2 linked regions of the Styela clava genome follow. The protein of the gene in region 2 binds, or shares a complex with, the protein of the main gene of each other region. Links are inferred from orthologs where the notes say so. Each region holds a gene or a part of one and is shown on either strand. Other genes may lie near its edges. The genes, in order: small integral membrane protein 20-like and surfeit locus protein 1-like.

Region 1 (6,518 bases), on a different chromosome or scaffold from region 2:
CAGGCAAAGAAACCCCTGCAATGATGCAAAAACGAACTATTGTAAGACTACTACTATATTTGGTTTTATCCGCTCTAGCATGCATGCACATCAAACACAACATAAGAAGAATTATCCATCACTACACTAGGGCTGCGGTCTGCGGAGTTAAAAAATATTCTCCAGCCAGTTATGAGTCTGGTATAATTTTACCACGATCTACAGTTTTACGCCTAATAAATATCAAAACCGAGACAGCAGAAAGCAATAAAATGCAAAAAATCTTAAATTACAAAAATATTACAAATTCAATGGACTTTTGAGAACTTAATATCTTTCACAATTTTAGCCCCACCGATTAGTAACCCCACACAGTACCCCAGCATTGCCCCAACAACCCCAGGGGTCGGCCACAATTGCCAGGGTCTGTCCCAGTCAAGTGGGATTACTATAGCTGATGACCAACTGCCGATGATGGTACATATTGTGCAGTAAAATAGGGTCCGCTTTTGTGAAGAATCAAAATTCATTAAATTGAAAAGGGCAATCCATTTCCGGGGCTTTGGGCCGAGTATGCAAACCCCGGGCACCACGATTAGGGATGAAACTAACCCTGCCCATATCGAAGTTTTTTCAGCATTTTCCAACAGAGGGGCCCCAAAAATTACAGCAAAAAAATGAGCAACTGCCCAAAAACCAGCAAACAAAATAGCCGATTTTACAATAAATTTTAAAATTTGCTGGAAGCTGTTTTTTTTCTTCGACATGGGGTAATCACGCATCCCAATTTGGGGGTTTAAAGTGGGGTAAACCACCAAAAAGAGGGTGATTTGTAATAAACTATTTAAGACCATAAAAATATTGATCACTATAAGAGGGCTCTCCACAAGAGAAAAAATAGGGTTTTCAGTTACCAAAGAAAACACTAAAAATATGAATATAAACACAAATGAAACAATTTCAGGGAACGCAGCTTTAATTGGCGACCCATCTTGGGTGGCTGACTGTTTCAAACTTGGCACCATTTTAGATGCTACTTTGTTTTTATTTTATGAGAATTTCTTTAAAGAAAGGCTAAATGTAACAACTTAAAGATTATTGAGCTCTTTCCAAAGAACAATAATGTTACGAGTGGTCACAGGATAAACAGGAATTATAAATTATATAGGAATTTGATGACGCTGCAATCACTAGAAATTGAAGGTTTATGAAAAACTTGAAAGTTCAAAATAGAAATATTATAAATACAGTGGTAGCTGTAATATACAGCTTTGAATAAGGGAAGTGACTATTAAAAAGGTTATTATGACTACTTTGCAATATAATTTTGTATATTGCAACAGTTATTTCTTGATTTAGACTTTAGGCTCCTGTGCTGGCACTCCTCTTATTTACTCTCCTTTCTTCTGGTCTTTATCTGGCAATGGTGCAAATGGGTCTGACCAAACTCTCATACCACCAGGCTGGATATCTTCTTGGCTGATTCCTGCTCTCCCTTTTTCTTGGATTTCCTCTAAAACAGAGATAGAGAGATTTATTGTTTGGTCAACCAGAAAACAAGCATTACAACAATAAATAATACATAAAGTTATTCGGTATAGACGGAGGGGAGCGTTGCGACCATACAGTACGGCACAGTTCTCCGATTCCAAAAATAGCCCCCCCAAAAATAGCAAAACCCTCCTTTACGAGACAGTCTGGGCCTCCATACCGAAAAAAAACGTCACCATTGGATTCCTCGAAAATATTTAATCAGAATCGCCGAAAGAAAATAATTTCACCAAGGATTCGACAGTTTTTAGCAAAAACACGTATCCTTGGTCACATGACGACAGATTCAAGCTGCAATTGATTAAGTTATGAAAAGCACAGCATCATCCTCCTGCCATCGTGCCAGACGACCTTGCTATATTTAACCAAACTTCAGGACATCTTGGAAACCAAATTTTAGCTTCAAAAACTATGCCATATCGGCATATGCAAGCCTTAATTAAAAAACAAGCAGGCATGAGTCAATAAATCTAGTCGAAATAAAAGACATAGCCTAACAGTACTGGCAAAACTCAACTTACGATAAGCTTTCGAATTATACAGCGGGTAAATGTAGATCGGTCCAAAAGCTGCTCCAAGAAATACTACAAACGCGGCGATTAACCGATAATTCCTCGGATTTTTCACGTTCTTCAAATTTGGTCTTTCTTTTAGTTGTTGAAGTAAGAAATTCCTGACGAAAACCATCGCTCGGAAGCCAGAAAACTCCGAAGTTCTTCGCTAACTCAACTGAAAATTTTGCAACAAATGAACTTTTGTCCTCTGGCGATAGGGTTCAATGAACAGCTACATAATTCTAACTGTACATCTTTCGCGATCATGAGAAAAATTTAATTTGAAAATATCGGAATACAGATATTTTCAAATTGATATTTCAATATAAATTAAAAAAAGTAATGTATATTAAACAGCTTTGTTTATGAACCGCTCCTTTTTTTACTTCATTTTATGCTTTTATATTTTTTGTATCCGTCAGTTTATTGTTCCAATCCAACGACTAACATACCGTTCCAATCTGTGTACTTACCATACCACTATTAGCGTATTTTTCGACATAAGATAGATAAAATAAAATATAAATAATTGTTTTTATATGTTCAGTATGTAGAAAGAAAGATAGATTCGTTGATTTGTCAACCAAATACAAATAAATAAAAGACATACAATAAATAGAGAATATTTTTGTTACGGACTCGAGGGAGCGATGAAACGTCATCAATGACTTTGATTTGCTTGTAAATGCTTTATGCAACCAGTTATTTTGCTACAGTACTAAATATCAAATATAAACCTATTAAACATAATTATAAAAAAAGAATAAAATGAGTTCAAGTTTGAAAAATTAGAAAGAAATTCAATATTTGCTTGGTAATATAACAAATTAACATTATGAGAATTGTTGTCCCTCAGTATTACAGAATTCTGCAATAGCTCACATATTTATTAATAATAACAAAATGTACAATATAGAATGATGAATTTTATTAAATTTCTTTCTCTTCCTCTCTTTCTAAATTTTCTTCAAACCAATGACCCAAAACGTGAGAATTTTTATGGAAACTCAGACGCGTCCTCCAGTGGTTCGCTCTTCCGTCCTTTTCCGAACTTGCGACGATGGCTACACAAGTCTCTAAGAAGCGCAAGGTATTTTGGTTAGTTTTTAGGAATTTATTCAACTATTTGCTTCGTATTTTTATAATTTTGTATACCTTATTACCTAGTTGATACATATTTTGTAAATTTACGATTTGTAGTGATTCAGTTATCTCGATGTATTTGGATAAAAATGAGATACTTCATCCTCGCTTGCTTTCGCGCGCACGCTTATAGCTATCAATGTAATGGATTCATCTGCAGTGTGGCAATGATGACTAAACTTAGGACACCGAAATACTTCTTGAATGATTAGAATTAAGTTACTCTAGCTGAGCCACACTACCAATAAGAATTTTGCACTTCTGGTTGATACTTGTTTTAAAAAAAAAAATTGGGTTAAATTCATAAGTCTCTTGAAATTTCGCATGAGGTATTGAATGAAAACGTAGCTAAGCTAAACAAATACCGTCTAAAACAGCTCTGAACAGAAAGCTTGACTCAACAGGGAAACTCATTTTCTCTAGTTTCATCTAGCAAATAAATTTGGGATCCAGTTAAAATTATAATATTTAATCTTAAACTGACCGTGATTAAATCCTGCTTACTTTGACTAAACTAAATAATATCAACCTCATTTTTTTAAGTTCGTTCGCGATGGCCTATTCAAGGCTGAATTGAATCAATTGTTATGGAAAGAGTTGGCAGAGGATGGTTACAGTGGGGTCGAAGTTCGTGTCACTCCATCTCGTACTGAGATCATCATCATGGCCACAAGGTGATGCATTGTTTTCCGAAGCTTCAAGCTGACTTTTTATTTCTTAGATGTTTTTTCCTTGGATCTCGTGTAGTTCCTGTAGAGATTTGAGTCTCGTGAAGCAAACGCCGTAATTGCTTAAATAACGCTAAACAAAAATGTAATGTGAAAATACATCCCAAATTTTCATTTTTTCTTCTTAAAATAAAAGTCAGTCTTGCCCGAGCGCAATACGGTTGCGCGCATGGGACAAACTGGAGGCAGACAACTCGACTCACAAGAGGACAGATAGGTCGTCCACCTTTCCGACGGCGACGTTTTAAAACCGTACGGGTGTAATTTCGATCTTTTCACATTAAAATTCCACATCACATTTTTGTTGGGTGTTATTTGAGCATTTACAGCGTTCTTTTCACATCACAATTTTGTTAGGCGTTATTTAAGCAAGTAAGTCGTTTACTTCACCAGAACACTGGATTTCATGTCCATTATCTACCAGAAATCTGGCATGCAAATCCAGTAGTTCCAGTGTGCAATCAGTGACTACGGCACGCTTATCGTCCCGAGCCTGCGTTCGAACCTACTGACATCGCGTGAAAATCTAGATTCTTAGTGCAAAACTAACAGAATAGCCTTAATAATCATGTGTAAAATTATTGAAATTGAACAACCAAAATTTTTGTGCTTTAAACTATTTAAAAAGCTGATGTTAAATGAAGGTGTGCCCCACGATTTCACTTAGTTATTTGTATCTGGCCCGAGTGTATTAAAGGTTTCTTGCAGACCTCGGTCTTCAGTATGCACCACAGCAATGATGACTAAACTTAGGACACCGAAATACTTCTTGAATGATTAAAATCATGTTACTCTACCTGAGCTGTTGGTGTATACTGTAATTTATGTTAAAATCTATAATGCCCAAAATCTGGGTTGTTTAGAGTGTCCCATACAATGATTCCAACGTGAAACGATTCTTGAATAATTACATTGGATGGTGTAGGCAAAAATATGCTTGCTCTAACCACTATTGATGTCCAAATTAGCATATTTATCAAATAAATGGTAAACTGGCATTAAACCTAATTTGATATAGTTTTAGTGGCTCGTGGTATTTTAACTTTGCTCATAGATTGGTCTACTTCTGAATGTTTTTTAGCAAAATGCCACATTCCCTTTTGAACAACTGCCAAAAATCACAATTTCTAATATTTCAGAACACAGAATGTTCTTGGCGAGAAGGGTCGCAGAATCCGTGAGCTCACAGCCATGGTTCAGAAAAGATTCAACTTTCCTGACGGAACTGTAGAGGTATAAGTTTACTTCATTGTTTTTTTTTACTCTGGACAAGGCTCTTAACCAGCGGTCTTACTACTTACTGAATACAGCGCGAAACACCGCAAAGAGCGCGAAACAGAGGGAAAGAGCGCAAAACAGGGAAACAGTGTGAAGCAGAAAAAAATTTTGCAATGAGTTCGGGGCACTTTGTTTTGAGTTGGATTACCACGGCAGCAAATTAAAAACACAAACCAACGTATGTAGCCAGTTATGCTGTAATGGCAGGTCTGCCCCTGCTGGTGACACATTTTGGGTACCATAATTTAGAACATTTTCCATGTGGATATGGTTGGCTTTAGGGTTAGGTGAAAAGGGACCTCCAGAAGTATGTGCACCAAGATGGCGCACAACCTGAAAATAGTATGTGTGTGTGTAGCGGATTCAGGTTGTGCGACATATTGCTGCACATACTTCTGGAGCACCAAAAAGGTAGATAAAATTTCGCATGATGGCCTATAAACCGGTACATAACCTTGTAAATATACCGGAAATAGCGCCATAAAACCATGGCGAGAGGCGCCGTGGTTCTTTCGTGGCAGGAGGTGGTAATGACTGCGTCTCCTGTTTTGCGCTGGTTTCCTTCTGTTTTGCGCTCTTTGCGGTGTTTCGCGCTGTATTCAGTAAGTAGTAAGACCCCTTAACCAGGGGTCGGGCAAGGTTTTGGCGGCGGGCTGAATCCAGCTTGTTGGGTGATTCAATTTGGGTCGCCCGTTGCTGCCACAAAAAAACTAAAATCGTATTTTGAGGTTTTAGCTAAATATAGCTCAAATAGCATTGTTGGGATTGGGGGCGAATTTAGTTTTGACGCAAGGCTCATTGTTTTCCTGCTTTGCTTTTGTAACACCAATAGTTTAAGAACCCCTGTATTTGAATAGTAAATTTTGTTGTATTAAAGGCAAATGATGATCAGGATACCCCCGTCATAAGTGATTTGATGATAAACAGTCTCTTCACAAGCTGATGCCTTTGTTACAGTGAATACACAATAGTTTCATAGCAAAGCTTGCCTAAAAACTGATTCTACTTTCTAAGATTGCTCCTTTTTTTTTAATTTGAAAAAAAACATTTTTGTATCTAAATGGCAAGATTTTTAAAATTCCACGTTGTTACGGTCTAACTTCACAATTAGAACTTTCAAAACCCATCTTTGAGAATTCTTAGCTTATGCCCCTGCCTGACCTGTGTGGCATTTGCTTTTTATAAGAACGGTAACAACTCATGTTTCAAAATAAATTGGAATAAATGACACAATTTTTTTTCAGTTATACGCAGAGAAGGTTGCTAACCGTGGTCTCTGTGCTAC
Region 2 (6,300 bases):
AACAGAACATGTAGCGTCATTGAAGCAAACTGCTGATGGAAGAGTAGGACCCGATGGAAATCTATCTGCCACAGAGATCCATGATCGTGATATGGAATGGCTTACAGACAGTGATGTTGTTGTTGCTGAGGTTACAACACCCTCACTCGGAGTGGGATACGAAATAGGAAGAGCTCTAGACATGGGAAAAAACATTTTATGTCTATTTAGAGATGACGCTGGTCGTCGCCTGTCTGCAATGATTGATGGAGCTCAGTCTTCAAATAATAATATTAGTGTGAAGCGTTATATTGCCATATCAGACGCTCTTGAATATGTTAGTGGGTTTCTAGAAAAATCTCAAAATAAAAATGCAGCAGTGTAACTTATTAAGCATATCATGATCAAGTTTGAGTATTAATGCAAATTTGGTCATCTTCATCGAGAATGATGCAGCTTACAACCACTTTAATTTGTTTCACCTTACTCAAGCTGCACGAGTGTGTTTGAAACATTTCGGCATTATGCATATGAAAACTAATTACTCTAGGATTAAGAAATCCTCAACAAAACTAAATAATTCAATATGATTTAGTGTAATAAATATGCAATTATACATTATCAATTTTACGATGATGAATGGATTAGCATTTGGGTACTAGGTCGAGCATCTGAACATAGGCCTTATTCATAAAAAGTTATTTTAAAGTTTGTATTTAATCTAGTTTCTCTCATAATGAAGATAAAAAGTAATTAAATAAAAGGGTTACCATGTGATCTCGCAGTAAATTAGGTGGAAGTAACAAACAGTATCTCAACAAAAAACAGTGTTTCGTTATAATTATCATTTGTTTCATCAATTCGAAAATTAGACCTCACCGCATTGGATGTAGAAAATGCAGTCTAAATGAATTTAAGCTCTATCAGAATTGGTTATTCTGAAATTTGCAAGTCTTTTGACATAACACAGGATTAGCAATCAGAACATTTCACAAATCTTTATAAATTTTAGCTTCAATTGTTTACTCTAATACGTTTCTATTTACTGAACATCACTAGAATACCTCACCGTATGTATCTAGACCACCACATAAGGGCAGTTATAGCAGAAAGACTGTACCATGTAATAATATACGAAGCATGCTGATTCCATATACGAATACGTGTTTGACCGCCAATAGGTCCCCCAGGTGAAGAAGATTCTGCCACAGCATCAAGTAAAATAGGCTTTGTTCCAGATAACTCGGCCATTTTTTCAACATCAACATGTGACCATTGATTTAGTTCTATCATATTTGTACCTTTAATTTTTGTTCTTTCTGTAAGTCTCAATAGGCCGGTGATGTTCACCTCGCCATCAATTTGTCCCCGTTTTCTGGTTCCTGGATTTCTATAATCGCTATCGACAAAACCACGATTTATTAGGATACTGTAATCTCGTTCTGGGATATAAAATGGAGTTATGACATGTAACCCCACTCGACTACCTGTTGATAAAAGTGAGCCACCGCTTTGTTCTTTAAGCTTGGCAAAAGTTCTTGGCATTACATGCATTTCTTTTGAATGATCAAGTACACCATTCACATAAAATTTTGAGTACTCAAAGTCTTTTGAATTTATGCTTTCTAAATTCTGTGGGAGAGGTTGGGGTTCTGCTGTAGTCTTTTTATTGAGTGATTCTATTAAATCATTTTTCCATGTTCGTCTTCGAACTTGCCATGTACCAAGGCAAAATGTAGCAACAGGTATTCCAAATAAAATCCATTTCCCTGGTTTTGCGGTACTTCCATTTTGGTCGTTTTTGTACTCACGTCGTTTTATTACTGGTCTTTTTGATATTGATGCAGATTCATTTCGCTTGAAACAATGGCACCATTTCCGTGATCTGTTGCAAAATATGGGCCTAGAAGACATCATCTTTATCTAAAAATGAATAAGGTATAAAAGTACTCGGACCATCAACTTGTCTTAAAACATCTACGACAAACACATGTTTGAAGACATTTATGGTTCTCAATCCCAATAACCTTAAATCGATCCAAGTGGAGTGGGAGGAAAGGCAATACTGCAACAGGTATTTTTGTGATTCACCACGGACTGAAGGAATGAATCAAGTCACAGATAAACACACATATTTCAATGCAAAAAGCAAGCCATGTTAGTAAAAGTACCACTAACGATACCAGTACCGGTATATGAGCCTGCATATGTTATCCCGTGCACACCCCAGCACCTTATTAACATGTTTCAGATCCAGCTAGCTATCAGTTACGATACGAGAAATAGACAGATCAATTGTTAGCTTGCTGTAACACAGCAGCAGCTAGAGCCAGTTTTATTATATTTGTATGACCCGTTGGTCAGTGCTTTGCCATCCCCGACCCTTGACCCCAGGAAAAATATTATAAATTTTGGATGCTTATTTCGCGAGTGTTTTGGAGAGTTGGCACTTACAAACTTGTTTACATGCTCAAACCCATCATTACTATTGAAATATACAGTACTGTTAGTTTGGTAGTTTGTTTTTGATGAATATGATTACTTCATTTACAAATAATTTTCGGAAACGACTGAAAATACGCAAAACCGCAGAAACGATGCAATGCTTACAACCATGCTCGAATATCTGTATATATTCATGGTCTGAGAGAACAAAGTGTCTAAGTAACTGCAAAAATTGCAATTGTTACGTCATCTTCGACTTTTGACTGATTGGTCATTGTTACGGGAAAAACAAGGATATTTGGGGAAACACCCATACCATCATTTGGCAATGTTCCAGAAAAAACTTCCTACCCACTCAATCACTAATGGATATCACTGAGACATGACCGACGTTTGAACATGATGTGTCGTACCGGAATTATAGAGAAATTTGATTCAAAAAGTTTTGTATATTGGAGTTTACATAATATTTGATATGAAATCTGAGGGACAAACCAACACATCTCGAAAGACACTTGGGAGCCCCCCAAAATTACACAATTGTCATTTACCCGATTGAAAGTATTCATTTGACTTTACGATTTGACAGTGGCTTTTTAAATTTTTTGAAAACCATATAATCGTAATACTCTCTCCTATCTATACCCCACACATTTATCAATTGCTATTATTCTTAAGATGACTGCCTTTTGGTTGGTGTAAAAAGAAAATATCACTCTCTCTCTCTCTTTAATATGGAATATTCGTTAGCAAAACTTTTGATAACAGTATTTTATTGAGAAGGTATGTGTTTAAAAAGTGTGTATATATAAACAAACCTCCAATTCGAACAAAGATATTGATGCTCAAATATTTGGACACGAAATGGTACGGGTATGCAATCTGTCACAGAAAATTACCAGTAGTGTGGATTTTCAAATGTAGAGAAATCCATTTATTCAATCGTATTTAATTTTATAGGTACCATCTTGAACGATAACCATATTTGGGACGAAAAATAAAGTCATTTTTATGAATTTTCAAACTTATTCCTAGAAGAGATCCAGGTCCTATGTATTTTGTTTGTCCCTTTGTTGTTGTTTTGTTTGTATCAGAGTGACCAAATAAAATTGATTGAAGAGATGATTTCTAATACAAAGTTAGGGTTTACAAGGAAACCCGACAAGACGGATTAATCATATGACGAACCACGGCCTCTCGTCCGGTTAACAGGTCGGGTGTCTGACTAGTTGGTCAGTTATTTGTTTTGGACGGGTTTTGGTGGCGGGGGAAGACGTAACCGAGAAGCAGTTACGTGAAACACTCCATGGCGGTGAAGAGTCCATCAATCCTCTCGCACACAATTGTCCCTACGGTATTTCGAACCCAAGCGGGGTAATCAGTGGTTCAGTGGCGAGCGCATTTCCAACGCATGGCACGATGCGTCAAGACAGATAGCAAATCTTTTTTTATAATGAAAAAAAATCATTTGAATTCCCACCCAAAAAGTCTTTTCGTTTTATAATTATTGAGTCTTTAAACGAAGGCGACTGCGGAATGCATTCCGGGTTTAAGTTGAAATAGTACGAATTACTTAATTGTGAAAATGGCTGGAAAATAACGCCGCAACATCACCCAACCATGGAACCTAACAGCCAGATATAATGAATTGCAAGTTTTAAATCATTGAAACTTGTATAATTTAATAATAATAATAACGATTATTGCACAACAAAAGTAAGAACTGGAGAAACACATTTTAGTGATTTTTGTGTATGATCTTTATAACCGACTTTGTCACATAATTGTAATGAAATAGCGGCTCTAAAATCAAAAGAACCACTCCTGATGAACAGTACACCACATTCAAAGTATACAGTTTCCGACTTTTTTACTTGAATAGTGGCTCGGGTACATCCAACGAACATGACACAGTCTTCAAGATTCCGCTCAACATATCCATTTCGTTGATCTTGAAAAACATCCAACGACACCTCCAAGGTCTGACAAATGTTTGATTTGTTATGGAATTCAAAAGTTACATAGTTTACACTGTTTGTGGTAATAAAAGCACTGAGGGAACTTGTTATTGAATCGTTGCCATATAAAAGGGAGCATTCAATTGGACAGTTTATCATTTTACAAGAGCTTTCATATGAAAGTAAACTGGGAAGATGGATGTTTCCTCCATGTTCAAATTCATTGCCATCGTGTTTTACTTTCCAAGACAAATCCAGCATTTTTTTAATGTGAAGAATACATAGTTCATCAATAATGCCACTTGATGGTAGATCCATTTTTTGCATTTGAACTTGACAAACTTTTCCCTCATCACACTCAATTGGTATCATATTGTCATTGCAACCACCTTCACCATCAAAAGATTTGAAATGAATCTCTGCATCATATTGCAATGTATTTTTTAGATGCAAGCACACAAGACAATAATCACAAGATTTTGACTCTAGGCTCTTTACTTCAATAGCTTCAACTACAATACTGACATCAGTTTTTATAACCATTTCAATTTCTGTACATCGCCACCATATATCTTTACCCAAATTTCCTGCATACTTTATCGTAGCCACACACAAAAATTCTTGACACTTCTCAATTTCCAAAACAGTAGTTTTTGGTTCAATGTGCACAGGAATCTGAACAGTTTTCCCAGGAGGGAGTGATACTTGCTTAATATTGTCATCAACATTTATTAATATGTCTTGCATGTTGTGTTTAGTTTTAATTAAAATATTCCAATCACAAATTGGTTGTTTTCCAATGTTGGTAAGATGGAATGGTAAGTTTGTCTTTTCACCAAAATAATATACAATTAAAGGCTTCCCTTCCTCTTCTTTACATTTGTCATCCTTGATGCACTTTAGTAACGGCAAGTCACCAATAACTTGAATCTGTACTTCAGTTGTTTCAATGTTATCATTTTTGTTGAAGTAACATTTTGCATAAACTCCATACATTGAAAATGCATATCCAATAATAGTGACTGTACCTAATTCTACTGGAGTTACTTTAATCCCGACTTCAAAGGATGATTGCGGCGCAATGTTAAAAGTCTGTGGTTGACAATCTATAGCTGAACTGTTTGAATCAAGAATCAGCGAAAATTCTGATATCTTGATACTGCAATGAGAAAGTGGATTAAATACATGTACTATAATCTCGAACATTGTGTTTACACACCATCTAAAACAAATTTTTTTAAGCTCGTGTGTTTGTGACTGTCTAATCGTTGGTGTGTAAATAAAAACACTTTGAGCATCAGATTCAGTTTTAGACTTTGTTGGTCTCATTCCATCATCTTCAAATAAAGGAGAAATCTTAGTTATGACTGGTAAAACATAGAAGTTGAGTTCAGGTGATGTGCTATCGAGTACACTAATATTTTTCTTGACATAATTTTCCAATGCAGAGCAAGTTGCCTTTTCATCAGTTTCAGACAAATAAGGAAACATATTCAAAATCAAATAAAGCAAATAACGAAGTGCAAGACTATGATTATTAATTTTTTCCAAAGAATATACAAGTTCATGTAATATTCTAAGACTAATACTTGGCCATCCATGTCTGTTTTTAAGGTATGGGGAGATGATAGAGTGTTTAGTCGGACATGATATTGTGTTCAATAAAAGTCTGTTGCAAAGTTTCCAATCAGGTTCTTTGATATGATGTGCTACACATTGCATCGCAGCCACTCGTTTGTAAAATGCAGATTTTCTGTAAAATCCTATACTTTTATATAAATCAGCCATCACACTGTATCGTTGTAATCTTTCGGTATCTGAAACATTGAGTGTGATGTAAACAGCATTTTGAATGAATTCTGAAGCTTCTAAAAAGCTTTTAGCCTCAGCAAATACTTTTGTTGCTTTGATACAAGCT

What was found.
Region 1: surfeit locus protein 1-like (region 2) and small integral membrane protein 20-like share a complex: the UniProt entries of both Homo sapiens proteins name them as parts of the MITRAC (mitochondrial translation regulation assembly intermediate of cytochrome c oxidase complex) complex. The link is inferred for Styela clava from reciprocal best matches to the Homo sapiens genes SURF1 and SMIM20.

The regions. Positions count from the first base shown.
Region 1 is NC_135263.1:1,580,976-1,587,493, forward strand, and holds small integral membrane protein 20-like, read right to left. Parts: upstream 2,289-6,518; 5' UTR 2,218-2,288; coding exon 2,052-2,217; intron 1,493-2,051; coding exon 1,371-1,492; 3' UTR 604-1,370; downstream 1-603. Other genes in the region: small ribosomal subunit protein uS3-like, read left to right, coding at 3,145-3,174, 3,771-3,901, 5,095-5,188, 6,478-6,518.
Region 2 is NC_135261.1:13,757,543-13,763,842, forward strand, and holds surfeit locus protein 1-like, read right to left. Parts: upstream 1,952-6,300; 5' UTR 1,897-1,951; coding exon 1,045-1,896; 3' UTR 671-1,044; downstream 1-670. Other genes in the region: 5-hydroxymethyl-dUMP N-hydrolase-like, read left to right, coding at 1-364; trafficking protein particle complex subunit 9-like, read right to left, coding at 4,125-6,300. UniProt on the Homo sapiens protein: Component of the MITRAC (mitochondrial translation regulation assembly intermediate of cytochrome c oxidase complex) complex, that regulates cytochrome c oxidase assembly.